Linked DNA regions of Saccharomyces cerevisiae S288C. Changing the gene in region 3 together with the main gene of any one other region gives a genetic interaction. Each region holds a gene or a part of one and is shown on either strand. Other genes may lie near its edges. The genes, in order: COB, RIM2, MRS2 and MDM38.

Evidence for each region.
Region 1: of MRS2 (region 3) and COB, extra expression of one rescues a mutant of the other (dosage rescue), as found in Saccharomyces cerevisiae (one study listed by BioGRID).
Region 2: of MRS2 (region 3) and RIM2, extra expression of one rescues a mutant of the other (dosage rescue), as found in Saccharomyces cerevisiae (one study listed by BioGRID).
Region 4: mutations in MRS2 (region 3) and MDM38 together harm fitness more than expected from each alone (negative genetic interaction), as found in Saccharomyces cerevisiae (2 studies listed by BioGRID).

Annotation. Positions count from the first base shown.
Region 1 is NC_001224.1:32,792-44,115, forward strand, and holds COB (cytochrome b), read left to right. Parts: upstream 1-3,748; coding exon 3,749-4,163; intron 4,164-4,931; coding exon 4,932-4,945; coding exon of another isoform or gene 4,946-5,788; intron 5,789-6,349; coding exon 6,350-6,426; coding exon of another isoform or gene 6,427-7,474; intron 7,475-8,049; coding exon 8,050-8,299; coding exon of another isoform or gene 8,300-9,460; intron 9,461-9,716; coding exon 9,717-9,767; intron 9,768-10,505; coding exon 10,506-10,856; downstream 10,857-11,324. Other genes in the region: intron-encoded RNA maturase bI4, read left to right, coding at 3,749-4,163, 4,932-4,945, 6,350-6,426, 8,050-9,460; cytochrome b mRNA maturase bI3, read left to right, coding at 3,749-4,163, 4,932-4,945, 6,350-7,474; cytochrome b mRNA maturase bI2, read left to right, coding at 3,749-4,163, 4,932-5,788. UniProt on the Saccharomyces cerevisiae protein: Component of the ubiquinol-cytochrome c oxidoreductase, a multisubunit transmembrane complex that is part of the mitochondrial electron transport chain which drives oxidative phosphorylation.
Region 2 is NC_001134.8:603,089-609,285, reverse strand, and holds RIM2 (Rim2p), read right to left. Parts: upstream 1,635-6,197; coding exon 501-1,634; downstream 1-500. Other genes in the region: RNA polymerase II mediator complex subunit MED8, read left to right, coding at 1-204; 60S ribosomal protein eL21 RPL21A, read right to left, coding at 2,146-2,617, 3,006-3,016; 40S ribosomal protein uS4 RPS9B, read right to left, coding at 3,778-4,358, 4,772-4,778; NTC20 (Ntc20p), read left to right, coding at 5,179-5,601; putative ribosome biosynthesis protein GDT1, read right to left, coding at 5,810-6,197. UniProt on the Saccharomyces cerevisiae protein: Mitochondrial transporter that imports/exports pyrimidine nucleotides into and from mitochondria. Selectively transports uridine, thymidine, and cytosine (deoxy)nucleoside di- and triphosphates by an antiport mechanism.
Region 3 is NC_001147.6:942,635-950,023, reverse strand, and holds MRS2 (Mrs2p), read right to left. Parts: upstream 5,429-7,389; coding exon 4,016-5,428; downstream 1-4,015. Other genes in the region: KRE5 (Kre5p), read right to left, coding at 1-251; ALA1 (alanine--tRNA ligase), read left to right, coding at 915-3,791; VMA4 (H(+)-transporting V1 sector ATPase subunit E), read right to left, coding at 5,667-6,368; DNA-directed DNA polymerase gamma MIP1, read left to right, coding at 6,639-7,389. UniProt on the Saccharomyces cerevisiae protein: High-conductance magnesium-selective channel that mediates the influx of magnesium into the mitochondrial matrix.
Region 4 is NC_001147.6:269,967-277,504, forward strand, and holds MDM38 (ribosome-binding protein MDM38), read right to left. Parts: upstream 3,759-7,538; coding exon 2,037-3,758; downstream 1-2,036. Other genes in the region: YOL029C (uncharacterized protein), read right to left, coding at 1-454; YAP7 (Yap7p), read right to left, coding at 667-1,404; MIM1 (Mim1p), read right to left, coding at 4,046-4,387; LAG2 (Lag2p), read left to right, coding at 4,991-6,973; YOL024W (uncharacterized protein), read left to right, coding at 7,120-7,538.

The DNA.
Region 1 (11,324 bases), on a different chromosome or scaffold from region 3:
TTTAAAATTCATATTTATAATAATAAATAAATAAATAAATAAATAAGTAAATATTTAGATTCTCATTAATATTAATATTTATATTTCTTTTTTTTTATAATAATAAAAATATCATATATAAATATAATATAATATAATATAATAAATTATTATATATAAATAATAAATATTAAATATAATATATAATAATATATAATCTTACAATTTATAATTTAATAAAGAAGGAAATAAATAATAATAACTCCTTTTGGGGTTCCGGTGGGGTTCACACCTTTATAAATAATAAATAAAGATGTTTACTCCTCTTCGGGGTTCCGGTCCCCTTTTTGGGTTCCGGAACTAATTAATATTTTATATAATAATAATAATATATTAATATAATTTCATTATTAATAAATATCTCCTGCGGGGTTCGGTTCCCCCCCGTAAGGGGGGGGTCCCTCACTCCTTCGGAGCGTACTATTATTATAAATAATTATATATTATAATATAATTAAAAAGTATTATAATTGAAACGAAAATTGTAATTTTAAATGGAATAATAATTATTATATATTTAATATATTTAATAAAGTTATAATATCTCTTTCTACCGGACTATTTTATTTTATTTTATTTTATTTTTATAAAGAAAAATAGTAATAATATTATCTTCTCCTCCTTTCGGGGTTCCGGTTCCCGTGCCGGGCCCCGGAACTATTAATTATATAATATAATATAATATAATATAATATAATATGATACGGATCAAACATTACCCGTTGTTCACTGGCAATGTTTAATCCTATTGTATATAAATATAATAAAATAATTATCCCTCTCGTAATACATATATAAAATATAAAATATAAAATAAAAATATTATGATTATTATAATATATATATATATATATATAAATATATATATATAATTTATAATTTATATGATTAATATATTATATATATAAAAAATATATTAAATTTACTTTTTATAGAAAGGAGTGAGGGACCCCCCCCCCTTACGGGGGGGAACCGAACCCCGCAGGAGATATTTATTTTAATACTTATATAGTATTTATTAATAATATAATAATTGTTATTATAAATATTAATAATAATATAAAAATAGGGTAAATAATATAAATAATATGAATAAATATAAAAACATATTAAATATAAAATATATCATAAATTTAATAAATATTATAATAATTTATAAATGATAGATATCTGGGGTCCTATAAATAATAATTATTTTCAATAATTATAGGGACCCCCACCTATTATATAAATATAAATATAAATATAAATATAAATACAAATATAAATATATAAATATATAAATATAATATAAATACAAATATAATATATAAATATAAATATAAATATATAAATATAAGTCCCCGCCCCGGCGGGGACCCCGAAGGAGTGAGGGACCCCTCCCTATACTAATGGGAGGGGGACCGAACCCCGAAGGAGTATAAATAAAAATTAATAATATATATATAATTATAATAGTTCCGGGGCCCGGCCACGGGAGCCGGAACCCCGAAAGGAGAAATAATAATATAATATATAATAAAATATAACTTATTAATATAATATTAAAAATATAATTAACAAGAATAAATAGTCCGTGGGATCGAACCCCCTTTTTTATTTAATATTTAATATTTAAAGAAGGAATTGTTTATATATATTAATATCTTATTTGGGGATTAATATAATATATAAGTTTTGGATACCAGGCCAAAGACCGGAATCCCAAAAGGAGATTATATAAATATTATTTATCTCCCTTTTTTAATATTATAATAATTTTATTAAAAATAAAATAATAATAATAATTATAATTTATAATAACAATTATAATAATTTAATTAATTAATTAATTAATTAATTAATTAATTAATTAATTAATAATAAATATAAATATAAAAAGAATATAATTTATAATAAATAAATTTATATATATATATATATATTAAATAAAATATTTACTTCATTAATATAAAATATAAATATATTTAATTAATAAGTATATATATATAATAATATATAATAACCTATTTATATATATAATCTTAATATAATTATAAGAAATATTATATAAGTAATATATAAAAATAATATAAAATAATTATAATTCAATTTATATATTAATAGTTCCGGGGCCCGGCCACGGGAGCCGGAACCCCGAAAGGAGGAATAAGATAAATATATAAATTATATTAATAAATATAAATTTTAAATGAATTAATAAAATTAATATATATATGTATATATATATATATATTAAAAATATTTAATTATTTTTAGGAAGGAGTGATAGATCCCTTTGGGGGACCGAACCCCTATTTAAGAAGGAGTGCGGGACCCCGTGGGAACCGAACCCCTTTTTTATTTAAAGAAGAAGTTTTATTTTATTTTATTTTATTTTATTTTATTTTATTTTATTTTATTTTATTTTATTTTATTTAATTTAATTTTAATTAGGTTAATAAATAGTAATAATAAACTTAATAATAATAATAATAATTTTATTTTTATAATTTATTAATAATAATAATAATTATATATATATATATTATTAATAAATATAGACCTTATCGTCTAATGGTTACGACATCACCTCTTCATGTTGATAATATCGGTTCGATTCCGATTAAGGTTATTCATAATAATAAATATTTGTAAAAAAAGTATATATAATTAAACATATTCTTTATATTAATTAATAATTATTAATAATATACATTTTATATAATACAATTATATATATATATATATTTTTTTTTAATACAAATAATATATTCATAATAATAAATACCGATTGTTATTATACTATAATAAAATATATAATATATTTTTCATTATAATATTTTTAAATAAATATTATAATAAATTATATAAATAATATTTATGTATAATAATAATAATAATAATTGTTATTAATTAATTCTATAATTATTATATATTTAATTTTTTTTTTTAATATAATATATAATAATATAATTTATTTTATTTTTTTTTATAGTTCCGGGGCCCGGTCACGGGAGCCGGAACCCCGAAAGGAGAATATAAATTAATAATAATATAAATAACATATTAACAATAAATTATTGTTAATATAATAATAATAATAACAATATTAATAAATAATATAAAAATTATTAATATTATATTTATATAATATTAATATAAAAATCTTTCATAATATTAATTATTATTAAATAATAATGATATCATTAATATTAATATAATCGTCAATATTATTTATTTATTTATTTATTTATTTATTTATTTATTTATTTATTATTAAATAAATATTTTTAAATATTATATTATATTATTAACTTTTTATTAAAAAAATTAATAATGATATAATATAATTAATATTATCCACGGGACCAATGACCAACCCAGTAGTTGACCGGATTGGCGCCCGCGAGGTTTATATTTAATAAATAATAATAATAATATTAATAAAATCTATTAACTTTTTTTTTTAATGGATTATATTAATGAAAAAAAAATGAGAAATATCTTTTTTTTTTAATAATTATAATTTATATATAATAAAATATGTATATATAATAAAAAAATAGTTTTTAATATTATAATATAATTATATATATAATTATAAATATATATATATATAATAAGTATTAATTAATAATATATATTTATATATTTTTTATTAATTAATATATATAAAATATTAGTAATAAATAATATTATTAATATTTTATAAATAAATAATAATAATATGGCATTTAGAAAATCAAATGTGTATTTAAGTTTAGTGAATAGTTATATTATTGATTCACCACAACCATCATCAATTAATTATTGATGAAATATGGGTTCATTATTAGGTTTATGTTTAGTTATTCAAATTGTAACAGGTATTTTTATGGCTATGCATTATTCATCTAATATTGAATTAGCTTTTTCATCTGTTGAACATATTATAAGAGATGTGCATAATGGTTATATTTTAAGATATTTACATGCAAATGGTGCATCATTCTTTTTTATGGTAATGTTTATGCATATGGCTAAAGGTTTATATTATGGTTCATATAGATCACCAAGAGTACTATTATGAAATGTAGGTGTTATTATTTTCATTTTAACTATTGCTACAGCTTTTTTAGGTTATTGTTGTGTTTATGGACAGAGTGAGACAAGTATAAGTATATTATTATAATATCATACCATTAAATAAATTATTTTAATGAAATGATTATGTTTATATATAACATATACCTAATTAGACATGCATTATTAGTAATAATTTTGTATGAAACTCTAATAATAATAATTATTATTAATTATTAAGGTAAGATTCATATGGATAGCGTAAGTCAATCTAATATTATAAAATATCGTAACATAAACAATATTTTTTTCTATTATTAATTAATAAATAATAATAAATAAAAATAATTATATGAGAAGTAAGATATTCAATTCTGTCTAGAATACATATATATACGTTAATACTCATCGGTATAAAATTAGAATCCTAAGTGAATTATTGAAAGTATAATAATATAAACTTGGTAAGCCCAATTATTTCCATATAATATTAATATAAATATTATATGGTAGTTATATATAATATTATTAAATAAATAATAATAGAAATTATAATATAGATAAGTGGGTAAAAGACTATTGAAAAAGCTAAAGATTATATGTAATGTATAATATAGATCAAATTATTTATATATTTTAATAAAAATATATTAATAATGGTTAATATTATTATTAATTAATTAATTAATTAATTAATAATAATAACGAATAAATGATTAATGTGAAAGCATGCTAACTTCAATATAGGATGATTTATATAGTATATAAATTGTTTGAGCTGTATACTATGAAAGTAGTACGTACAGTTCTGAGTGGGGGAAAATTTGTAAAGATCTACCTATCACAATTGTCACATTGAGGTAATATAAATATCGCCTCAAATATATTTAATATAATAAAACTAATTTATATAATAATGTTAATATTATTAATTTATATTTTTTATACGATTATAATAAGACAAATAATAAAAACTAAAGAATATCTTATATTAATTAAGAGTATAGATTATATTAATAAAAATAAATATATAATTAATTTAAATATAACAAATAAGAAAGATATAAATAATAATATTGGTCCATTAAATATAAACATTTTATCAATTATTTATGGTTCAATATTAGGAGATGGTCATGCTGAAAAAAGAAAAGGTGGTAAAGGAACAAGAATTGTATTTCAACAAGAATATTGTAATATTAATTATTTATATTATTTACATAGTTTATTAGCTAATTTAGGTTATTGTAATACTAATTTACCTTTAATTAAAACTAGATTAGGTAAAAAAGGTAAAATTAGACAATATTTAAAATTTAATACATGAACTTATGATTCATTTAATATGATTTATTCAGAATGGTATATTAAAAATATATCTGGAAAAGGTAATATTAAAGTTATTCCTAAATCTTTAGACAATTATTTAACTCCTTTAGCTTTAGCTATTTGAATTATAGATGATGGATGTAAATTAGGTAAAGGTTTAAAATTCACAACTAATTGTTTTAGTTATAAAGATGTTCAATATTTACTTTATTTATTACATAATAAATATAATATTAAATCTACTATTCTTAAAGGCAATAAAGAAAATACACAATTTGTTATTTATGTATGAAAAGAATCTATACCTATTTTAACTAAAATTGTATCTCCTTATATTATTCCTAGTATAAAATATAAATTAGGTAATTATTTATAATAAAATATATAGTATTATATTAATTATTATATTATTATAATGCGATATTATTGAAAACATGTCAAAATTATATTATTAAGTAACAAGACAGTGGGTTATATAATTATATGATCCCAACAGAATACACCAATAATAGGTATTATTATAAAAAAAATAATAATATTTAATGTTTATTCGAAGAAAATTTATAATATTATTATTATAACACAAGGTTTAATAATCTATATATATATATTATATATATAACTACTGTTATTATTCCATTTACCTAATTAATATATAAATAATGAATTATAATTATTATGATTAATATTTTTATAATAATAACCCCATCATAACATTTATATATAACATTTATATATAACATTTATATATAATATTTATATTATGGTATTATTAGGTATAAATATTTATTCATAAGAGAAAATAGTGATTAAATGGAATTATAAAAAGGGTAGATATTATTAAATACAGGGTATTATTTATATTAATAAATCAATAAATATTGAGATTATTATTATTAAAAAATAATAATAATTTATAAATAATATTATTTTCTTGGCACTAGTTATTACTAATTTATTCTCAGCAATTCCATTTGTAGGTAACGATATTGTATCTTGATTATGAGGTGGGTTTAATATAGAGGATCCATATTATAGTAATATAATATTAAATAAATCTGTTTTATGCTGAAATATCTTCATTTGAATAATAAATTACTATATTATTCAATTAATTATTTATAATAATATAATTTGAAATAAAAATAATATAGTTAAAATATTTATTATAAGAAGAAAATTAGCAGTAATTAATATATATATATATATAAAATTAATTATTCAGAGACTTTATAGTTATTATATAAATAATACTATTATTTATGATAAAAATCATAAATTAAACACAGATAATCCTATTTATGCATATATTGGTGGTTTATTTGAAGGAGATGGTTGAATTACTATTTCAAAAAAAGGTAAATATTTATTATATGAATTAGGTATTGAAATACATATTAGAGATATTCAATTATTATATAAAATTAAAAATATTTTAGGTATTGGTAAAGTAACAATTAAAAAATTAAAAATAAAAGATGGTACTATTAAAGAAATATGTAAATTTAATGTAAGAAATAAAAATCATTTAAAGAATATTATTATTCCTATTTTTGATAAATATCCTATATTAACTAATAAACATTATGATTATTTATATTTTAAAGATAATTTATTAAAAGATATTAAATATTATAATGATTTATCTTATTATTTACGTCCTATTAAACCATTTAATACTCTTGAAGATATTTTAAATAAAAATTATTTTTCTTCATGATTAATTGGTTTTTTTGAAGCTGAAAGTTGTTTTAGTATTTATAAACCTATAAATAAAAAAATAAAACTTGCTAGTTTTGAAGTATCTCAAAATAATAGTATAGAAGTTATATTAGCTATTAAATCATATTTAAAAATTACTCAAAATATTTATACAGATAAATTTAATAATTCAAGAATAACACTTAAAAGTATTAATGGTATTAAAAATGTTGTAATATTTATTAATAATAACCCTATTAAATTATTAGGTTATAAAAAATTACAATATTTATTATTCTTAAAAGATTTACGTCTTATTCTTAAATATAATAATTATTTTAAAATTCCTCCTAAATATTAATCTTATATAAAAATATAATAATAATATATTTATATATTATATAATTATATAAACAAAATATAATTTATATATAATTATTTATTATAAATATAGTCCGGCCCGCCCCGCGGGGCGGACCCCGGAGGAGTGAGGGACCCCTCCCTATTCTAACGGGAGGGGGACCGAACCCCGAAGGAGTTTAATTATATATTAAATATATTATTATCAATAAATAATTCCTTTGAACTATTTATTATTTTATTATATTTATTTTCTCCTTCATTATTAATTTTTATTAATAATTAAAATCTTATCATTTTATGGTATTTTTATTTCTATTTTAGGATATCGAAACTATAAATTAAAAAGTATAATTTTATTAATTATAATTTATGATTAATAAATAAGAAATAAAAACTTTAGAAGTAATATTTATCTTTTTTTTTTATAAATAAATATTATGATTAATATATAATCATTTATAAATATTTATATATAATTATATATATACATAAATAGGATTAAGATATAGTCCGAACAATATAGTGATATATTGATAATAGTTTTCAAATATGTAACTATTTAAACATTAAAAGCTCAGTATCTAACCCTCTAATCCAGAGATTCTTTGCGTTACATTATTTAGTACCTTTTATCATTGCTGCAATGGTTATTATGCATTTAATGGCATTACATATTCATGGTTCATCTAATCCATTAGGTATTACAGGTAATTTAGATAGAATTCCAATGCATTCATACTTTATTTTTAAAGATTTAGTAACTGTTTTCTTATTTATGTTAATTTTAGCATTATTTGTATTCTATTCACCTAATACTTTAGGTCAAAATATGGCCTTATTATTAATTACATATGTAATTAATATTTTATGTGCTGTATGCTGGAAATCTTTATTTATTAAATATCAATGAAAAATTTATAATAAAACTCTATATTATTTTATTATTCAAAATATTTTAAATACAAAACAATTAAATAATTTCGTATTAAAATTTAATTGAACAAAGCAATATAATAAAATAAATATTGTAAGTGATTTATTTAATCCCAATAGAGTAAAATATTATTATAAAGAAGATAATCAGCAGGTAACCAATATAAATTCTTCTAATACTCACTTAACGAGTAATAAAAAGAATTTATTAGTAGATACTTCAGAGACTACACGCACACTAAAAAATAAATTTAATTATTTATTAAATATTTTTAATATAAAAAAAATAAATCAAATTATTCTTAAAAGACATTATAGTATTTATAAAGATAGTAATATTAGATTTAACCAATGATTGGCCGGTTTAATTGACGGAGATGGTTATTTTTGTATTACTAAAAATAAATATGCATCTTGTGAAATTCTTGTAGAATTAAAAGATGAAAAAATGTTAAGACAAATCCAAGATAAATTTGGTGGTTCTGTAAAATTAAGATCAGGTGTTAAGGCTATTAGATATAGATTACAAAATAAAGAAGGTATAATTAAATTAATTAATGCCGTTAATGGTAATATTCGTAATAGTAAAAGATTAGTACAATTTAATAAAGTATGTATTTTATTAAATATCGATTTTAAAGAACCTATTAAATTAACTAAAGATAATGCTTGATTTATAGGGTTCTTTGATGCTGATGGTACTATTAATTATTATTATTCCGGTAAATTAAAAATTAGACCTCAATTAACTATTAGCGTTACAAATAAATATTTACATGATGTTGAATACTATAGAGAAGTATTTGGTGGTAATATTTATTTTGATAAAGCTAAAAATGGTTATTTTAAATGATCTATTAATAATAAAGAATTACATAATATTTTTTATCTTTATAATAAAAGTTGTCCTTCTAAATCTAATAAAGGTAAACGTTTATTTTTAATTGATAAATTTTATTATTTATATGATTTATTAGCTTTTAAAGCACCTCATAATACTGCTTTATATAAAGCTTGATTAAAATTTAATGAAAAATGAAATAATAATTAAATTTTCTCCGTATTCATTATTATATTATCTAATTTATAAAATATTTAAAGATTCCTTATAATAATATAACATCTTTGTAAATTATTGTTAAAGATAATATAAATTATTATGAATCGGTAGATTATATTTTTACAATCTTATTAAATAAAATTCTGATCATTAAACATGATTGAAGAAATAATAATAGTTTATGAAATAAGATAGTGTAATATAAATTTTTATGAAGATATAGTCCATTTTATATTTATTATAAAAGCATCCTGATAACTATATTCCTGGTAATCCTTTAGTAACACCAGCATCTATTGATATTAAAAATATTAATAAAATTATTATTATTTAATCTTATTTATTTTATATAAAAAAAATAAATAATAATTATTAATAAAAATATATTATTTATTTCTCCTTTCGGGGTTATTTATATATATTCCTTTATAATTTATATTTAATATATTATATTAAATATATGAAAAATTATAATAAATAAATTAATTAATTAATAATAAATAATAATAAAAAGTACAGTAGCATTAAATATTCTTAAGTTTCCGCTTTGTGGGAACTCCCATAAGGAGTTTAATGATTAAAATTGGTTAATTGTCAAGAAAATCTAAGGTATTAATAAATAAATAATACTATGACAACTTGCAGCGAAGTTTATATCATCTCTATATTATATATTAATATATATATATAATAATAATAATAATATTAATATAATATAAGATATAAAAACGTTCAACGACTAGAAAGTGAACTGAGATAGTAATACCTTTCCACGAAAACCAATTAATTTATAAATTATTTTTAAATAAAGAATAGATTATTAATTTTTTTTATATAGTTCCGGGCCCCGGCCACGGGAGCCGGAACCCCGGAAGGAGTAATATATATTATATATAAAATAAAAAATATATATATATATATTATAAAATATCAAAAGTTTTAATCTTTTATTATAAATTAATGACATAGTCTGAACAATAATGAAAATTATTGAGATAAGATATTAAATAATCTTATGTTAACATATATAAATTGTGTACCTGAATGATACTTATTACCATTCTATGCTATTTTAAGATCTATTCCTGATAAATTATTAGGAGTTATTCTAATGTTTGCAGCTATTTTAGTATTATTAGTTTTACCATTTACTGATAGAAGTGTAGTAAGAGGTAATACTTTTAAAGTATTATCTAAATTCTTCTTCTTTATCTTTGTATTCAATTTCGTATTATTAGGACAAATTGGAGCATGCCATGTAGAAGTACCTTATGTCTTAATGGGACAAATCGCTACATTTATCTACTTCGCTTATTTCTTAATTATTGTACCTGTTATCTCTACTATTGAAAATGTTTTATTCTATATCGGTAGAGTTAATAAATAATATATAATTAAATTAATACATAGATATAATATATATATTATTATTATTAATAATATAATAAAAATAAAAATAAAATTATTAATAATAATAATACTTTAATAATATTCTTAAAAATAATATATCTCTAATTTATAAAAATTAAATAATAATAATAAAAAAAAAATATTATAAAATATAAATTAATTAATAATGAAAATAATATACTTATTAAATTAATATAAATAAATGAATAATATAATATAACTATATTGAATTATAATCTATCTATCTTTTTTTTTCATATAATTATAATATATATATTAATATATATAATTATTATTTTATATATTATAGTTCCGGGGCCCGGTCACGGAAGCCGGAACCCCGCAAGGAGATTTATTAATTATTATTATCATTATTATTTTTTATTTAATCTTATTTATTATAAAATAATTAATTATCATAAAGCATAATTATTATAGAATCTTA
Region 2 (6,197 bases), on a different chromosome or scaffold from region 3:
AATTGGGCGCGCACTACGTTTAGAAACGAATATGGAAAGCACGATTTCAAAAATGAAGAATCCCTAAGCGAAGAACACGCTTCACTTCTAGTACGAGATAGCAAACCTTCGAAACCTTTCAATGTGGATGATGTTCTAAAGTTCACCTTCACAGGGGAAAAGCCCATTATTACGGGATCTACTTCAACATCATCTAGTAATTGAATTTTACTTCACGCTACTGATATTTTAAAACATTTTATTGTTACTAGTGACCTGGTAAAAATATTTACAAGTATAAAAGGACCAATTTACTGAATGAAGTAAATAAGGATCATTGATATGTTACGATAAATAATGCAAAGTAAAGGAGAAGAAACGAAGGGGTCCAAACCTTAGTAGGTTAGCTTTCTATAAACTTTGACAGGCTTTATATCCTTACAAAATGCACTTTTTTCATACTTTTTTGTTAGAGTATGTCTTGGCCCTAAAGTGAATTTAGAGTTTTTTAGATTTCAAGGCTACGATAGTAGCCTTATAACAATTTCCCATGTACCAAACATAATTATACTGTTCGGAACTGTTCTCATCAAATGCGGGGTCAACCCACTATACATTGAAAAGAGTCCCTCTTCTTTAATTATAACTTTGAAACTTTGTACTAAACCTGTATACTTTCGTTTACCATTTTCCTTGGGCGTTTGTCTCAATCTCGTCCTGACAACTTCGTGCGGATATGTTGCTATACTAGCCACAAATTTTGCAAGACCAGCGCTTCCTGATCTTTGACACCACTCCTTGACTTTCTCTGATGTGCTTTTTGTACCTTCGGCTTGATATCCAAATTTCTCAATAGACCTTTCCTTTATTAACCTCTTCATTTGTTCATATAATAGCCATTGAAGTATACCTTCAACAGAACCCAAATAAGAGGCACTCAACCCTTTGTACAAGCCAGTGAAACCCTCATTTCTTATAACACTTTTTAAGCAATCCCAAGAGTTCTTGTACTGTCGGACCGATGTTTTCCCAGCTTTATCAAGCTGTACTCTTGTTTTAATCAACCAAATAGGATTGGTTGCCGTCGCCGTTGCCCAACCTGCGGTTGCAGCAGCCATCAGATGAATCATAGGTGTTTCTTGGCCATTATTGAACGCTTTAGCATACATATCTTTAGTAGTTCCATAGGTAAAAAAATTAATACTTCTTGCTGGAATAACCCCGACTAAATTGGGGCCCAAACCCTTAAACAAGCTTCTAAAACCCTCTTGTTTGTACACATTGCCTATGATTCCCAGTGTTTCCTTGAAATGGGTTCCTGCTTGAATGACATAATTAATACTCTTTGGACGAGTAGATCCTTTACTGATATTAACAGCTTGTGATTTGTATGCTTTCAAAAATATATCACTTTGTAATCGGGTCTTCACCAAATCAAAGGGACACGTAACAACTGCACCCGCCATTCCTCCAATACCCCCAGCAACAAAATGAACCCATGGTTTTACTGTTGGATGATTTTCAATTTCAGATTGCTTCAAATTTAGTGGAATTTGTGTAGCTTCCTTATAATTAGAGCCCTTTTCATCACTTGCTAAATATGGAACTGATTCAATGGCATCCTCTTCCCATTCTTCAATGGATTTTTTAGGCATCTTTATCTCCTTGAAAAATTATGGGATATGAGAATGGTCAACTATGTAAGTAAGTAGGTGACTTTGACACAATAAATATAGGACCACGTAAAGACAAAATCGTCCGATTTTTTTACCTCAGTTAGCAGTACTTCAAAGAACAGTTTCTATAGAGAACAAGGCTACCCCTTTATACAAAGTTGAATTCTCTATGTGAAGTTAGACTTTTACCATTATTCTTTTTAATTTTACTTCTTGGATTTTGGCGTAAGGTTAATTTTTCACTAAGAGAGAGCCCGAAGCGAGGATTCAAAAGAGATGCTCAACGCAAGTAATATCTGGATGACATGAAGTGACTGTGTTGAGTAGTCTATATAGGTCAGAATAAAGAACCAAAAGAAATAATCTAAATGTACAAATTATGGATATTAGACACAATTTATTTTTTATTATATTATATATTTAAAAATAGACAAAAAATAAAACCTAAAACCTGAAAATCTTTTTCGATACAAAACCAGCATCGGGTAAATTAGATGAAAGTTTCGTATGGAACTGGGGCCAAAGTTTGAGGAACGTTACCTTCAGTAGAAACGATACGGGATTCTCTTGGTTGAGCTGGTTGTCTCTTCAATTGAACAGCAACACCTTGAGCCTTAGCTTCAGCACGCTTAGCAGCATTGGCCTTAACTCTTTCCAAAAATTCTTGTCTACACTTGGAGTGCTTGATGTGTTCAACTCTTAAGTTTAATCTTTTTTCTAGATATCTGTTACCGACCATCTTGTTGATGATAACACCAACAGAAGACTTAGTAACGTTGTAGACAACACCGGTCTTACCTTGGTAAAACTTGTGTGGCATACCCTTTTGGATAGAACCATTGGCTTTGATGTCGACAATGTCACCAACCTTGTAGACCTTCAAGTAAGTAGAAAGATGGACGGCACCATGCTTTCTGAAGTCACGTTGGAACATGTAACGAGTACGAGATCTGTAACCGTGTCTGTATTATAAGGAAATAAATCAAAATTAAGATTTATAAGAAATCATGTTAGTATTCTATTGTTTTGCGAGTTTCTGAGATGCGTCCCAGCACATAACCGAATGTTTGGAAAAAGGGCTTGTAATTACTACACTTCTAATGTTGAACTAATTTTCAAAGCAACGACTGTAAACTAATGACTTACAGCCCGTTAAAAGCCTATCATGTCACGTAATTTTCTCAGAATCAGTGTAGCATCATCTTATCTGCCCAATATTTTGCTCTAATGATATGTTTGCTTTATTCACACTAGACACGTCTTTAAATCTTTTTATTTCTGTGACGATATGTTCGGTTTGAGATACCATGATTCGTTCGTGCTGTAGATTCATAGGATTAAATGACATACGATTTACCCATTGTTGCTAGTTATTTTTGTCTTGGTTCTCTTATTCCAAAGTTCAATCGGTAATGCCTGAAATTGCACACTACTTTCTATATTATCTTTACCAGACATGACACTCCATTGGTGATAAAATTTCACAGAGGCGCAGAGACCGTTTACCTTTCCAGCTCTCGTATTGTGGCCCCCACCGCTGCCTGGGCTTCCAGCACGGCCACTAGTAGCGGTGGGCCAACACATCAAAGGAGGTTTGGCAGCGGTGCTTTTCCTCGGTTCTGAGCATGTTCTAGCGGCTGGGAAAAAGGCGATATTCAAACTCATCCTTGCCTCCAGTAAAAAAGGGTGTGGTGATGGTGAAGATGTACAGGTGTAAAACTGTCAGACTAACAAGTATAATATTGCGATTTATATTATCGAGATATATTGAGGTCAAGAGATATATACCAAAGTGAATGCAAGATGGCATGGAGAATTAGCCTTTAAATATTAACGGCTTCAATTTCTGACAATAAGGATTTCTCCAAGCCAAGGTGTAAAATCCTAAACGCTACTGAGTTGCAGTTGGGAATTTAAATCCGATCAAAATCTTCTAGCTATTTACGTTGGGTATTGAGTAATACTTGTGTCATCCAATGCCATGTCATCTTGCAAGAAAAGCGCCAGTTATGTACCTCTACCCATTTTCAAATGAAATAAAAATGACAAAGTAAAATGAAAAATGATCCGTGATTTGAAAAGTTATAAAATTTATTATACAGTTATGAAATCAGCGAATTATTTATTCTTCGTCTTCGGCTTCTTCAGCAGCTTCACCGGAAGCTTCAGCCTTTCTAGCAGCGTTTCTTCTAGCAACTCTACCTGGTCTAGCACCACCGAATGGAGAAGTTGGAGCGAAGTCAATGTGCTTTTCAGAGTCCAATCTGACCATGAAAGATGGGATGTTGACGATTTGCTTACCAACAGCAATGTGTCTTTGAGTGATTAAAACTCTGGCGTGGTGGACAGACTTGGCCAAACCCAACTTGTAGACTTGAGTTTGCAATCTTCTTTCCAAGAAATCTTCAACCTTCAAAGCCAAAACATAATCCAACTTCTTCTTGTCTTCGGACAAGACACCAACTCTAACCAATCTTCTGATCAAGGCATTACCTTCGAACAATCTCTTTGGGTCCTTTTCGTCTCTAGTTAACAAGTCTCTGGCAGCACGACGAATTTTAGACAATTGGAAAGAAATTCTGTAAATTTCTCTCTTGTTCTTCAAACCGAATTCACCGGCCAACTTCAATTCTGCGTCCAAACGAGAAGATTCGTAAGGTCTCTTTGGTGTAGAGTAAGTCTTAGAGTAAGTTCTTGGAGCTCCTAAAAAAAAAAAAGTAAAATTGGATTCTTGTTAGTCAAAAGTTTTCCCGGAACAAAAGTCTGCAAGGGCCCAAGTAAGTGCTCATAAATATTGTAGAGATATGATTAAAAACGCATAATTAGGTATCCGCCTTGGAAAATAAAATACTGTCCCATTGTTACGAGAGAGATGTTCCCTATTAGATCACCTTGATCTCTAATGTATCCCTGTTTAACTGAAGTGTCGGGAGTTCAGTGTAAATAAAGATATTCATAATATGGATAGTAATTCAGGCTGTTGTCGTGCTACTCAATGAAGGTATACTATTATGGAATTTCATATTCTCAAATATTTATGAGGACCCGAACCTCTTTCAAAATCAACGAGTCAGAGTGAAGAATTTCCCTCCTCTTCGATATAGTCTAATACGTACTTGGCATTGTTGCTTAGTCTTAGTTGTCTTGTTGCTTTCTTTCTTGTCTATGCAAATGAACAATTTTATTAAGTAAACTTCATGAAATTTATGCATAATGCTTAATGGGATTGAATGTTAAGCTACATGAGTGAAGCGCGTCCACCTGAAGCCGCCAACTTTATGATTTTTTCAAGTAACCTTTGTTTTGCGAATATGAAAAATGTACAGATGTGTAAATGTACGGATTAAATCGTCGCAGCGGGGAACACCGCTTTCTGAAATTGAAAGTTTCCATACTAGAAGGTCAAGATGCTGTCAATTAGGCTAGGAATGATACAGAAAAGCTGGCTAGCCGTTCCTTCAAAGCCTTCCATTACATCTACTTTTTTACGACTTACTTGTTGCGACTACTTTTTACAACCAGTATGCCCTCTCTGCGAGATTTATCACTAGAAAGGGACCAAGAATTAAATCAGTTACGTGCCCGTATCAACCAGCTGGGCAAAACAGGCAAAGAAGAAGCCAATGATTTTGTTGGTTTAAATATTTCAAATGAACCTGTATATGACACGGTGATTCAAACAGGACAGAGCTCTAACGCAACGAATAGTTTTGTACAAGAAACTATTCAGAAGACGAAACAAAAAGAGAGTGGTCAGCCATATATTATCCCCCAAAAAAACGAACATCAGCGTTACATCGATAAGGTTTGCGAAACCAGCGATCTCAAAGCCAAATTAGCGCCTATTATGGAAGTGCTCGAGAAGAAAACGAATGAAAAAATTAAGGGAATAATAAGGAAAAGGGTATTACAGGAACCCGACCGTGACAATGATGATAGCGGCTGATCGGATAATTACAACCAATTGCGTGCGCAAGACTTCATTGGGTTGGCTGGGAAAGAAAAGCGATGAACTTAGCAAAAAAAAAAGCTACATCAAATAAATATCAGCCGTACACTAGTTACGTATGTCTATAAATATTCTTTTCAAGATTCACACTTAAATATGAAGAGAAAAAAGAGAGAATCCAAGAAGAATACGGTTACAAACCATCTCAATCCTGAGTTGTGAATGCTTGATATATATACATCAAGGCGAAAATGAAGAATAACAACGAGCTAGCAAGAGTGATTGTTCTTATGCTAATTCTTGTTGCCAATAATTTCCCACCCACCACTGCTAATCCAGAGCAAATGGCATGACCAATAACAGCACCTGCAATAACATACCAATAGTCGCTGTCAGTAGCCATGGCAATAATACTAATTTGTGAACGGTCACCTAGCTCGCCTAGGAAAACCATCAGGAAAATTTGAACCCAAACTGGGGAAAACATAAATGATGCTAATTCGCGAATCCTGTGCACTATTTTTTTACCAATCGAAGCGTTCTTCAGCTGTTTATCATACGCAGTGTCGCCTCCTTTTTCAACATCATCCATA
Region 3 (7,389 bases):
TCCTCTTTATCGTATCGCTCCCTTAATACATTGGAAGTTAGCGCCACAAGATTTTCTTGAATATCAATCTCGTCATCCAAACCGGTAACCAAAGGATATAAATTAGTTAACAGCTGATTATCAACATCGCCCAGTAAATGAACTAAAATAGACCAGACCTGAGCAGATTCGGGTATGCCATATCGTAAGCTATAAGTCCATGCACGAAGCGGCGCACACAACAATAACAATACCAACGCAAGTAGTCTCATAATCAACAGAGGCACTCACACTGATACGTCTATATTCTACCAGGACAATTAATCTTTAATATGCCACGTTATATAGTTAGTTAATTAGTATACTAACTATATGAGTTATTGACAATCCGGGTAATGCACACATTAATAATCTTTCATGTCTTTCGAATCAACTGAAATTGGATATATACGTAAGACAGAGCGTGCTGAGCAAGATTCAAATTGTTCTAGTGACCCACCAAAGCTGTATCATGCCATGTTCAGAGACGACTACACCAAGAAGTTAAGTCTAAAATCAGCAATATACCGTCCTATGTTAGCGGTTTTTAGTGCCCTGCAAAAAAGTCAACGATGACCTGAATAATTTGCAGATTAAACCTAACAATTCAGAACCCTATATTTTATTTAATCATGATCAACGGATTGGCCGTTTCTTTTTTCTCTTTTTTTTCATCCGCTCGATGGATGATGAGTAAAACAAGAAAAACGCAGTTGGCGACTGCTATCAGATATGAAAGCAGTTTGATTGAACAAAGTCGGTTTTTTTTAAATAGAATTACAAAAAAGGCGTGCTTCCAACATCTTCTTATTTAAGACAAGACGACGTCAACTACCGGATTAAGGAACTTGACTCTTTCTTTCAAGAAGCAATTAACTACATCAACTAGAACCATAATGACGATCGGTGATAAGCAAAAATGGACCGCTACTAATGTCCGTAATACCTTTCTAGACTATTTCAAATCTAAAGAACACAAGTTTGTCAAATCCTCTCCAGTAGTTCCATTTGATGATCCAACTTTACTTTTCGCTAATGCCGGTATGAACCAATACAAGCCTATCTTTTTAGGTACTGTCGATCCAGCTTCCGATTTCTACACCTTGAAAAGGGCTTACAACTCTCAAAAGTGTATCAGAGCTGGTGGTAAACACAACGATTTAGAAGATGTCGGTAAGGATTCTTATCATCATACCTTTTTTGAAATGCTGGGTAACTGGTCGTTTGGCGACTATTTCAAGAAGGAAGCTATTACTTACTCATGGACTTTGTTGACTGAAGTATACGGCATTCCAAAGGATAGATTATACGTTACCTATTTTGAAGGTGATGAAAAGTTAGGCTTGGAACCTGATACTGAAGCCCGTGAACTATGGAAAAATGTTGGTGTTCCCGATGACCATATATTACCTGGTAATGCAAAGGACAACTTTTGGGAAATGGGTGACCAAGGCCCATGTGGTCCTTGTTCTGAAATTCACTACGATAGAATAGGTGGTAGAAATGCTGCTTCCTTGGTTAATATGGACGACCCTGATGTCTTGGAAGTTTGGAATTTGGTTTTCATTCAATTCAACAGAGAACAAGACGGGTCTTTGAAGCCTTTACCTGCCAAGCATATCGACACAGGTATGGGGTTCGAAAGATTGGTTTCTGTTCTGCAAGATGTTAGATCTAACTATGATACCGATGTTTTCACACCTTTGTTCGAGCGTATCCAAGAAATCACTTCAGTTAGACCATATTCTGGCAATTTTGGTGAGAATGACAAGGACGGTATCGATACTGCCTACAGAGTTTTAGCTGATCATGTCCGTACATTGACTTTTGCCTTAGCTGACGGTGGCGTTCCAAACAATGAAGGTAGAGGATATGTTTTGAGACGCATTCTAAGAAGAGGTGCCCGTTACGCCCGTAAATACATGAATTACCCAATCGGTAACTTTTTCTCCACTTTGGCTCCAACTTTAATTTCTCAGGTTCAAGATATCTTTCCCGAATTAGCCAAGGATCCTGCATTCCTCTTTGAAATCTTGGATGAAGAAGAAGCTTCTTTCGCTAAGACCTTGGATCGTGGTGAAAGACTATTTGAAAAATATGCTTCTGCTGCTTCTAAGACTGAATCTAAGACTTTAGACGGTAAACAAGTTTGGAGACTTTACGACACTTATGGTTTCCCAGTCGACTTGACTGAATTGATGGCTGAAGAACAAGGCTTGAAGATTGATGGACCCGGTTTCGAAAAGGCCAAACAAGAGTCATACGAAGCATCCAAAAGAGGTGGTAAGAAGGACCAAAGTGATTTGATTAAGTTAAACGTCCATGAATTATCCGAGTTGAACGATGCTAAGGTGCCCAAGACTAATGATGAATTCAAATACGGCAGCGCCAACGTCGAAGGTACCATTTTGAAACTGCATGACGGTACCAACTTTGTTGATGAGATCACTGAACCAGGTAAGAAGTACGGTATTATTTTGGATAAAACATGTTTCTACGCCGAACAAGGTGGTCAAGAATATGACACTGGTAAAATTGTTATTGATGACGCTGCTGAGTTTAATGTTGAAAATGTTCAATTGTATAACGGTTTTGTTTTCCACACCGGGTCTTTAGAAGAAGGTAAGTTGTCTGTCGGTGACAAGATTATCGCTTCATTCGATGAACTACGTCGTTTCCCTATTAAGAACAATCATACTGGTACACATATCTTAAACTTTGCTCTGAAGGAAACTTTGGGTAATGATGTCGATCAAAAGGGTTCTTTGGTTGCCCCAGAAAAATTGAGATTCGATTTCTCTCATAAAAAGGCTGTGTCAAATGAAGAATTGAAAAAAGTTGAAGATATCTGTAATGAGCAAATTAAAGAAAACTTACAAGTGTTTTACAAGGAAATTCCATTGGACTTGGCCAAATCCATTGATGGTGTTCGTGCTGTCTTTGGTGAGACTTACCCAGATCCAGTTCGTGTAGTTTCTGTTGGTAAGCCAATCGAAGAATTGTTGGCCAACCCAGCTAACGAAGAGTGGACCAAGTATTCTATTGAATTTTGCGGTGGTACCCATGTCAACAAGACAGGCGATATTAAATACTTCGTCATTTTAGAAGAGAGCGGTATTGCAAAGGGTATCAGAAGAATTGTTGCTGTTACTGGAACTGAAGCCTTTGAAGCTCAAAGATTGGCTGAACAGTTTGCTGCTGATTTGGATGCTGCAGACAAGCTGCCGTTCTCTCCAATCAAAGAAAAGAAGTTGAAGGAACTTGGTGTCAAACTTGGTCAACTTTCAATTTCTGTTATCACAAAAAATGAACTGAAGCAGAAATTTAACAAAATTGAAAAAGCAGTGAAGGATGAAGTTAAGTCAAGGGCCAAAAAAGAAAACAAACAAACTCTTGATGAAGTGAAGACATTTTTCGAAACCAATGAGAATGCTCCATACCTAGTTAAATTCATTGATATTTCTCCAAATGCTAAAGCTATCACTGAAGCGATCAACTACATGAAATCCAATGATTCTGTCAAAGACAAGTCAATCTATTTATTGGCAGGTAATGACCCTGAAGGTCGTGTTGCTCACGGTTGTTACATCTCCAATGCTGCTTTAGCCAAGGGTATTGATGGTTCTGCGCTTGCCAAAAAGGTGTCCAGTATCATCGGCGGTAAGGCTGGTGGTAAAGGTAATGTTTTCCAAGGTATGGGTGATAAACCAGCCGCTATAAAGGATGCAGTTGATGATTTGGAAAGTTTGTTCAAGGAGAAGCTTTCCATTTAAGAAGTTAAAATAAAACGAAAAATAATGCATAGGAGTTCTTTTTGTTTATTTTGCTCTTAATAAAAAAGTGTCATTGTATAATTAGTCTTAGTTTAATTATTTATGTTTTTACAAGGACAAAAGATTTGCTGTTAAAAAGAGTTTTAAATACCCTTTTTTCTTACATATGTATATATACAGGTTTATGCTAATAATATTGTATAGTTTATCATGATAATCGCCTTTCAATTTTTCTTGTCTTCTATCAACCATTTCCAAATCATATCTCTGTTCTGCTTGTTCTTAATATCATTCTCCATGTTAAATTTCTTCACCTTTGAAAAACCTTTATTAATCTTATTATTCGACAGGTTAGCCTTATTAGTGTAGCTGCTGCCATAAAGTAGCACTCCCAACCGCTGCTTGGTTGATTTCCACCACTTCCGCCTTCGCTTTAGTTTATTTGTCAGGGCAATAGACGCTGATGTTTTAGGATACACACTGGAGTTTGCGGGTGAGTTTGGATACATGGTCATCTTTGTCACGGATCTTAAAGAATTAAAATTTTTCTTGGTGATATAAAGGGCAGAAACAATAGAAAATACCGCCACTGAAGTAAACCCCCATTCACTCTCCTCGATGAAATTCTTTAAATTCATACCATAGAATGCCGGCAGAACAGATGCTACTGTGAATCCCAACGTGTAGATGGTAACTTTCAACTCCAACAACATTAAGGAATTTCTATTTGCGTCCAATATGATGTTGACAATTTCTTCAGTAGATTTGATATCCTGAATCAAAGATTCTGATTGCTGAACGTATTCATCACATTGGGTGTAGTACGTCTCTATAAGCATTTCCAAGTCCGAAAAATTGTCCTTAGGAGACTTCTTAACTGTCAAGTACATGTTTGCTAAATCATCGTCGTTTTCTAATAGTTCATCTAATAGATCTCTAATCAATAAAGTTTTTTGGTAAAAAAGCGTAAGATCTTTGGACTTAATTAAAAGATGCCGCAGTTTAAGTCTATTGACCTCGTTTTCCAGATCATTTAAGATTTGAATACAGATTTGTGAGTGAAGCTTGAAATCTGTTTCCAGTGCGCTCATTACGTTGATGAAAATACTCTCGAGGGCTCTATGCTCGTAAAATTGAGAGTTATTCTTGGTGGAGGACAACTTAGACTCCAAGTCATACATAAGTACACTCAGTTTGGCAGCGGCGGAAGGGTTTGTTGTATCGAAGACGTAGACCTTATCTCGTTCGATAAGAGCTTTGATATGCAATAAGTTGATGACAATACAGTTTGGCTTACACATGATGGTTGGAATAATATCAATAGAGGAGTTATCTATTTTCCTCAGGTCTCTGGGGAAAAGGGAATGTTCAGTTAAAAAGGACCATTTAGGAAACTTCTCGGACATTGAGATAATATTTCCCTTAGAATTGAATACCGTACACGAAATGAACAGTGAATCAGAGGCAGAAATGGGCTTCAACGATAGTAACTGTTTCCGCAATATGGTGCTGTTGGTGTTTGCAGCAGTGGATGTGTCAGCATACTTTCTAAGAAATGGCGTGTTTGGTCTTCCAAAAGTTATTCTCGACAAAGGTTGGAAACAAGATATAGAACGTACCAGGAGACGCCGATTCATGAGATGCTTGATTGAAAATCACTTTCACTACGATTGCGTATACCGTTACTGTTAGCCTTGGTGCGATCTTGAGCCCTATTGTTCTATCATAATGCTGCAAAAAAAAAAAAAAAAAAAAAAAAGAAGAAAAAAAAAAAGAGACAAAAGACTGGACCACCACAGAGGAAAGAACAACATACAAAAAAAAATCTGTTAGGAGTGTATATGTAAGTATGTAGGTATACAAGCTGCTGGTCGATCAATCAAAGAACTTTCTTGTCTTGGAAGGACCATACAATTCCAATCTGATGGCGGGCAATGCCTCTTCACTTAACAATTTCAATCTTTCCTCCAAAGTGTTGTTAATTTCAATCTTGTCTGATGCATTGGAGACCACAACACCGCCGGAAACAAGGTCTTTGTTCAAGTAATCATTGGAGATAACAATCTCTTCCAATGGTGCGCGCTGGGCCTTTTCCCCATACTCACGCATAATGTCGTCCTTCATCGACTCGATTAAATCGACGTCTCTTTCAAGAGCCTTGACAATCGCCTTAGGTTCCAACAACTTCAAAAGTGCCTCCACGATCAATGATTGCAAAATGGGCTTGTACTCGTCCCGGTTGTTGGCAATTCCTGACAACTTTTCCTTGGTTTCCTCGAATATCCCGTCTAGCGACTGTTCACGAGCAGAAAGAACCTTCAACCTCATTTTGTTTGCTATCGTTGACTTAGTAATCTGTTGCGAAAGCATGGCCTTCTTCAACTTGCTCTTGAAGTTGCCGTCAATGTTGTTGGTTTCATTTCTTACGATGTTGGTCTTCTCGATTTCGTACTCTTGGTCAGCCTTCAATTGGATTTCCTTCGCTTTTTCTTCAGCTTCCTTTCTGATGAAAGCTTGCATCTTGTTCAATTCATCGTTCACTTGGTTTGGTGTCAAAGCAGTAATAGCGGAGGACATGCTGTATCGGATGGTGCGTGGCCTGTTCTGTGCCTCTTTTGTAAAACAGTTACAAACAACTTTTCTTGCAACTGCTATTGTTCTTTGCTGATATATAGCGTGAGTTCTTATCGAAATGGCCGCTTTCGCCCCTCTCCGTGGCGGGTGACCTCGGGCGCACTTTTAGCCGATACTCAGTAAACAACAATAGGTATGGACTACGAAAGAACGGTTCTAAAGAAGAGGTCGAGATGGGGATTATATGTAGTTGTTGAGCAACGAGGGACAAGTATGACGAAATTGATGGTTAGATCTGAATGCATGCTGCGAATGGTGCGGCGGCGGCCGCTGCGTGTGCAGTTTTGTGCTCGATGGTTCTCCACAAAGAAGAATACCGCAGAAGCACCCAGGATTAATCCTGTGGGGATACAGTATTTAGGTGAGTCTTTGCAAAGACAGGTATTTGGTAGTTGCGGTGGTAAAGATGAGGTGGAGCAAAGCGACAAACTTATGGAGTTATCGAAAAAGTCGCTAAAGGACCATGGGTTGTGGGGGAAGAAGACGCTCATCACGGATCCAATATCGTTTCCTCTGCCGCCACTACAAGGCAGGTCGCTAGATGAGCATTTCCAGAAGATTGGGCGTTTCAATTCTGAACCGTACAAGAGTTTTTGCGAGGACAAGTTCACGGAGATGGTGGCACGACCGGCGGAATGGCTGCGGAAGCCAGGCTGGGTTAAATACGTACCTGGAATGGCACCCGTCGAAGTGGCATACCCAGACGAAGAGCTGGTGGTGTTTGATGTAGAAACACTCTATAACGTCTCTGACTATCCGACTTTGGCCACGGCCTTGTCATCGACGGCGTGGTACCTTTGGTGTTCGCCGTTCATATGTGGTGGTGATGATCCTGCTGCACTGATACCCCTAAACACATTGAATAAAGAGCAAGTAATAATTGGTCACAATGTTGCGTATGATAGGGCACGGGTTCTCGAAGAATACAACTTCAGGGACTCGAAGGCGTTTTTCCTCGACACTC
Region 4 (7,538 bases), 670 kb from region 3:
TTTTATTTTTTTGCATATGTTGACGGATTTTTTGATATGTGTAACTGATCGGCAGATACCTCTTTGCATCGGAAGCCGCATTCATTTGTGCATTCTTGCAGGAACATATTTCGGGTAGCTTGATTGAATTGTAATTTACGTCAGTTTGTTGTTCATTTAGATCCGGTGACAACGCACTGTTGGAAGAGAAAGAGCTTGAACTACATTTATTCGAAAGTGATTGACAAAAATTCCTACTATGGGGGTCTGATCTACATTGCTTGCAGCTTCCAGGTATCCATGACCCATCCTCTTTAGTGATCGGTCTATTCTCGCTATCGTAGATTTCTTTGTCTCCACAGCATTTCGATATTGATTTCTTAGCATCGGATTCTATTTTCTTTTCTGAACAGCAAACGGGGACTAAGGATGGCATTATGTTATTCTTTTGGTTGCAACATGTTACTGGTTTCATGGCATCTTTATTCCTACAACATTTTATTTTTTTGTTGCCACTGCCTGCACATGCATTGATACTGCTGCTGCATGAAGACAGAGGTGAATTAATATGGCCATCAAGCGATGAATTCGTTGAACTAAACTGTCTGCCGCTCAGATATTGATAATCGTTGGCTATATCAATCTCAGACAAAGACTGGTCTGTTAATACCGCGGGCACATGAGATGTTAACAATGGGCCTTCAGCTTTCCTTTTTTTAAACTGACAGCGCCGATTGGTTTAAAGTTTTCTACCATTTCTAATATCGAAATAGGATTGTCTGGCGGGTTTTCTGGCTGCTGTTGAAATGGAGTATTAACAATCAAAGGCAAGGCTTTTTGCAATTCGTTGTTTAATGCTATTGATTTTTGCAAGTTTTCCTTTGTATCGGAAAACTCAGATTCCAGCAGTTTATATTTCCTTTGCCAATCATCGACCAAATTGTGTAGCATCTCAACCTTCTCTTCCAGAACCTGGATTCTTGTTGTTCTGCGTTCCCTATATGCTCTTTGCGCATCTCTATTTTGCCTCCTTCGCTTTTCCACGCTATCGACACCGTTTTCATCACCACTTCCGTTGCCTTCATCATCAGATTTCCCCTCATGACCTTTTGCGCCTTCGTTCTCATGATCTTTTGTGGTCATTTGGTCTTTCTGGTTGGAAGTTTGAACCTTCTTTATCTTGGACGATCCATCATTATTAGCTGATGCATCCCCGCGCTTGGATTTCGGTTTGCGGCCCGGTTTTAGGCGCTGTGGTAACTCCCAATTCTTGGATAACTTAATAGCTGACGGTCCTGATGTACTCACATTTCCATCTGGTGAGGATGGAGGTGGAGACGTCGTAGACATGGAACCCTGTTTATGCCCCAATTTGAAGCCTTTGGGCTTTACGCTAACTGCTACTACAGACCTTCGTTGTCTCATGATCCATTGAAAGTGTGCGTAAATGACAAAATTTTGTGCCTTTCTATATTCTTTAATTGATGATTTACTTCCTTGATAACGGCTCAACAAACGAAGAGCAATTTTCAAATTTCAAAAGAAAAAACCGTTGAAACTGTTCTTGAGCAACTTTCAAGCCTCTTATGATGATGTGCTACAGATTGAAGTACAGGTGAAAAGAGGAATAACCAATAGCCTTGTTTGCTTTCTACGGTGGGGCAGCGGATTTTCTCTTTTATGCTTATGCTTCTTCTTCCATATATTACTAATTTTTCTCGAGCGAGCAGCTTTACTGCGTGCATTACCGATGAAAAAAATCGCCGATATATGAAAATCCAGCTCATAAGATGCTGATTAAGGAGTCATGAGTGAAAGGACCCTCGTGGCCATCACAAAAAAGACACTTTGCTCCTGTATAAAAAAAAAAATAAGGCGGTAGTTTAGATAGGGTGTCTATTATATACATGCATAATAATTTAGTTTTGAAGGGTCGCTGGTTTTGCCGTGACGTACGCTTCTCTTTGATCTTTTGCCATTGTTGTCAGAGAAAAGAGAACCGATTGACTTTTTTTTTTTAGTTTTTTTTAGTTTTTTTCTTAGGCTTTGATCTAATATCAATCTTTCTTAATGACAAAAGTCTTCGCAGCTTGATCGGCCGGAATGGGAGGTACAGATTTTGCTTCTTCCTCTTCATCTAGGTTGATATCATCTGGCACATGCTCTCTCGAAGCTCTTTGCTTAGCTTCCTCTTCCTCCTTCTTTATTAGTTCTTCTTGCTCCTTCAAAACGTTCAATTTGAACTCGTTATCGTCGGATGTCTTCTTTTCTTCAGCTTCCGTGGCTTCCGCAGAGTCGGTAGGCTCTGCGTTCTCTTTTTCCTGAGATATTTCCTCTGTCTTCGCTGTTTCTGCCTTTTCATTAACTACGACTAGTTTAGGAGTAACCGCAGAAGCGGTGGTAGCTATAACAGACTCTTTTGCGGTGGCTTCTTCCTTCGGTATAGCAGTTTCCTCGGGTTTTTCTTCCGTCTTTATCTTCTTTTCAGCAACTTGCTTTTCAGCTTCAGTTTCAGCAGCGGATGATTTCGATTCAGATACATCTAGTTTTGCGACGTTGTAAACGGGATCTGGAATGGAACTTAGCACTTGTAATATACCGTCGTAGTACAGATCCAAAAGGTCGTCATATTTGCTTTTTGTTTCTTTTTTTTCAGCTAGTGGCGAGAATGCCTTTGAATAGTTCTCCTTTGGAAGTCCTCCAAACGTGAACGTGGAACTCAAAACCATCAAGACGGATGGGATTTTTTGTCTCAGTCTCAATTCTAGCCAAACTTTTAGATTATCGACCAAGTCCTCCTTGGATACACCGTACGCTTTCATACCACGAGACACACAAGCTTGATACAGCTCTTCTTGCGATAAACTTTCAACGCCTTCGTAGTCAATAGTTTTATCGTCGTTCATTATATCCTTTAGTTTGGAACGAATTTGGTAACGAAGCATGTTATCGTTACCAAATGGCCTTAGTGACATAAACTTCGACATTGCTGCCAATTGTGGTCTTGACAAGTTATCCAAAACGCTATCGTTTTTGAACATTTGCGCAATGGCGCTTATTTCATCGTGTTGGAAAGTCATAATCTTACCTTCCTTGGCAGAATAAAGCTTCCGGAAAAAATTCAAAAATTTTTGCTTCTTCTCTGCATTTTCAATGGTGTTGTAAGTGATCAAATTGGATTCTTCCAAAGTCTCATGCAAGAATTCGGATGTCTTTTTTCTGATCTCGATGAGCTTATTTCTCTTGGCTTGCTTATCCTTGCCGGATTCGTAAGTGGAGGGTAGTAAGTTGGGGAAGAGTTTCAAAGCGAAAGGCAAAAATAGTTCGGCGAATGGAATAATAAGGAACGCTGAAAAAGGGATCAACCTAAACACATCGCCCATTGTCCTCCTCAATTGGTTCCTCTCTCTTCTAGACAACTCGTAACCCTGAGCAAATTTAATCAAAAGCTTAGTAGAAACTTTGATTTCGTAACCCAAAAGTTTCGTCCCATTAGCATAATGTTTCAAGGCGTGCTTCACTTTGACCATAAGCGTCTCCTTGGGCTTGGCAGGAGCATCGGTGGATGTTGGAGCTACGGGCTTCGTAACACTTTTCGACTTATCAGTAGAATAAAATCTCAAAGATAAAGGATAGTTGGGCTGTACTCCTTGCGCTCTCAAAGGCCAATGACACGAGGGAATAGTGGAAGCTATTAATCTAGGGCCTTGATTTTTAACAAAATACAAGCTTGCTTGACGTCTTGTCACACATGACGCTCTTGATGCGAAATTCAACATCTTAGTATATTATCTGTAGTGATAGAGATAGCGTATATTATGCGCTGCCTGAAATGCACTGCGCTGTTCATATTCATCACCGTGGCAATGACTGATCCATTTATTTGGAGATGATTCAACGAATAATTTTTCACCGCGGGATTATCGCCCAAGACGGGGTCGTTTGAGGGTAATACCGTGGCTAGCTTTATGGCTTGTGAAACTATTGCCAGTTATGTGGTTACGTATAATCTACCGTATGTGTGTGTGTATTTATTTATGTAGGTTGCTAATGCTTTGGTGATCGTTTAAAGGAACTTGGACGCAACCCTCCCACGGGTGCCAGGGCTTGAAATCTCTTTCAATGCTGCTATTTTGCGCGACTCTGGGTACACCTTATACCCCTTGTTTCTATGGTTAAACCAATTGAATCTCCAGCAGAGCTCGTGAGCAAATAGCTCGCCGAAGCCGAGCATCATGCCGTTGAGGAAGGGCAAAAGTAGGTTGATGGAGCACGAGCCTACAAAGGATACAAGGCTCTGCACAAGTGGGCTCTCGTCGGCACTCACTGTGTTCTGCACCTCCATACAGTCTTTGTCTTCTGATTCGTCATCTGACACGCTCTCCCAGAATCCCACAACCTCTGTCATATTTCTGTCTTGTGGCAGTTTCGTAAGAAGGGGGGTGATGTTTCTAATATTACAGTGATGTTCTATTGTTCAAGTAAAGTGTATGGCTGTTTCTTATGGCGCGGAATATACCACTTCGTTATAAGTGATTACATCTCGTAACGCATTCCTCTTGTTCAGTGGTAGGGGAGGCCGATGGTAGTGGAATAATACGCTTTTATGGGCCATTGGTATTACTATTTATCTTCGTTATAATAAATAGTACACGTTGCAGACATATTTGGAGGAGAGTTTTTAAAGTACTGTTGGGGTGCTCTTGCTGTGCATTGTAAGTAATCGTGTCCCAGTGGCCGAGTGGTTAAGGCGATGCCCTGCTATTTCCTCAGAAAAGCAATTAGGCATTGGGTTTTACCTGCGCAGGTTCGAATCCTGTCTGTGACGCATTTCTTTTTTGTGAATTCTTGCTTCTTATCCTTCTACAATCCTTTCGTGACATTTATTGAATCATCTCTACAAAATTTTTACACATAGCTAAGGTTAGCTTGTTCTACATTACACAAGTGGTAGCAAAATCGTTTACATTGCACTCAGCTATATCAACATCACGTTCTACCGCAACTAGTAATGAGCTTGCACATTAGTAAACTGATTGAGCAATATCGTTCCACTAAGGACAATGACCTTAAATATATGCTTTTAAGGCAAAACTTTAAAATTAACGACATAGAGGATGAGCTGGCTCCTCTTGTTAACGAATTGCTGCTCCCGGTATTGGTCGAAGAACAAGACATGGAAATTCTCAACCTAGTATCGTTTCAAGTGCTCCCCGATTTAGTTCTTTCTATGATCAGCGACCCTGCAGCTGCTCAGTTGGGATGGGTAATAAGCTTGATATGCGACCCTTTATTAAACCAAAGCATGATACATGCAAATCGTTCTTTTGTTCTGATTGAGACACTAAGAAATGTGTTACAAAAAATTGAAAACTCCCCTCATTTAGATTACCACCAACCAGTAAACAGTTCATTAGAGTTTATCTCCAAATTTATTGTTGAAATGAAAAGGCATATGTGTGATGTGGATGCTGCGCAGCTTTCACATTCACTTTCTGAAAGCAATATGCTAATTTACATAGAATCCCTTAATCTATTGCTAAAATTTAGCTTCTTTTCAGACGCGGCAAGTCCTTCAGTAATGGTCACACTGCCCTTTGATATTTTGAATGACGTTTTTACAATTGCGCAGGACTATTCTGCTACGAATACAAATGAAAGCATTGATAGGATCACAGAAAAATTACTTTTGACTTCTACGCAATTAACTCATCCGGTGGACCTGGAAAATTTATGCCCCAAAATGAAGTACAATACTTTAGCAGCAGTTTCTCGAATATGGTACAAATTTGGCCCCATAGTCGATAAATTATTTACTAACCGGCTATTACCGGTTCTATTCCCCCCGCAAATGGGAGAAGAATGTAACGTCGAAGATGTTCTCGAAATAGTTCATAACTTCCATCCATATTTTTCTATTCGTAGGCTAAAGGATAATAGGCCTCTATTGTCAGATTCGACTATTAGCCAGCTAAGAGAGGGTTTGTTTGGTATGCTCAGCATATTAAACGACTCGCTGACAAGGACGCAAAATGAAAACGACCATGGTAGCGACAATCTGATCGACAGTGACGACGGATTTGGCTCAGACAACGATCCTGAACAACAAGCGTACCTCGATGAACTCGTATCAGAAGGTTATGACGAAAACATGTATGACGGTGATACGGATGACGAAGACGCAGATGATATAAACGTTGAAAAAAATGATGAAGCCACCAAAGACATTACAGAAACGAACAAAATCCTTTTAATCTTTTCTGAGTTACATTATCCTCAGGAGGAGCGCTTCTCTGAACTGTTGGTTGAGTTGCAGACTAAGATCGCTATAAACACATCCTTAATTGATAAAATTCTTTCAAAAGAGACAACAGAATTACCCACTCACAATGGGGAAATCGCAGATTTGAACGAAATTCTAAATGAAGTGAAAGGCAATAAACCAATTAGAAAAAACGTTATTTTTTGTACGTTAGCGCATACTTTGTCGTTGCAATCCGGTTCCGAATTGTCTGTTCTACAGCTATCAATAGAGGTTATTGATCATCTGCTGGTTAAAAATCATTCAAATAACATCACTCGTGGCGAGCAATTTCAATTGATTAAGTTGATATTACCCCATCTAAAAACAAATAAATCTTTTATTGATACATTAAAAGCAGGAAATTTTACCCAAAAAATTGATGAAGGAGTGACCTTAAGAACAATGATTCTTTCTCTACTACTACAACTATTCCCACTGGATTACTCTATGCTAGGTGAGATTTTACCCACTATTGCGCGATATTCTGTAAGGGATAAGGATCTTGGGGTGAGAGATCTGTCCTTCCAATTGCTGGACCAAATTCTACGCACATACTATAATTACCTAATTGGTATCGATTGGGAATGGTATAAAGATGACTTCTATCAAGTTTTGCAAGAAACTTGTATTAAAAAAGACATAAATACCAACCTCTTGCTACAATTTCCTCCTTATCTCCCTCATGACTAGATAGTTTTATACCAAATACATCATGCATCTTTTTTTTTTCCTTATAGTTTGTGTCATCAACATGTTTTTGCCCGTATTAATACACAATAATCTATCCTCTCAGGCAGGGAGAAGAAAACTAAATATACATAGCACCCTCACACAGGATGTCAAAACTATCGTCTTATCCTCATGCCGCCGATTTTATAAATATGGAAGAACCGCCAAAATCTAAAGAGTTTTTCGATGATCTTTGTGCCGTCCCTAATTTACTCAAAAGACGTTTTCCAAACTCTCGAAGATCGACGCATTATTGTGAGGCTTTAAATTATTCTAGGAAAAAGCTTCCTGTTGTGTTGTCTAAAATGACACTGCAAGAGTTGAGGCACAATATGTCAACATTTTTTTTGCAGGAAAAGGATCAAATAAATATTTATGACACCTGTAAGGTGATAGACATGGGGGACCGTGTCTTGCTCGAAACTATGCCTCCACAGCCAAGAGATTTATTTGAAAAATTGCATGCAAGTAAAACAAATTTAGTAGTTCAGACAGCAGCTTTGGATGAACCCCTACTTACAGTAAA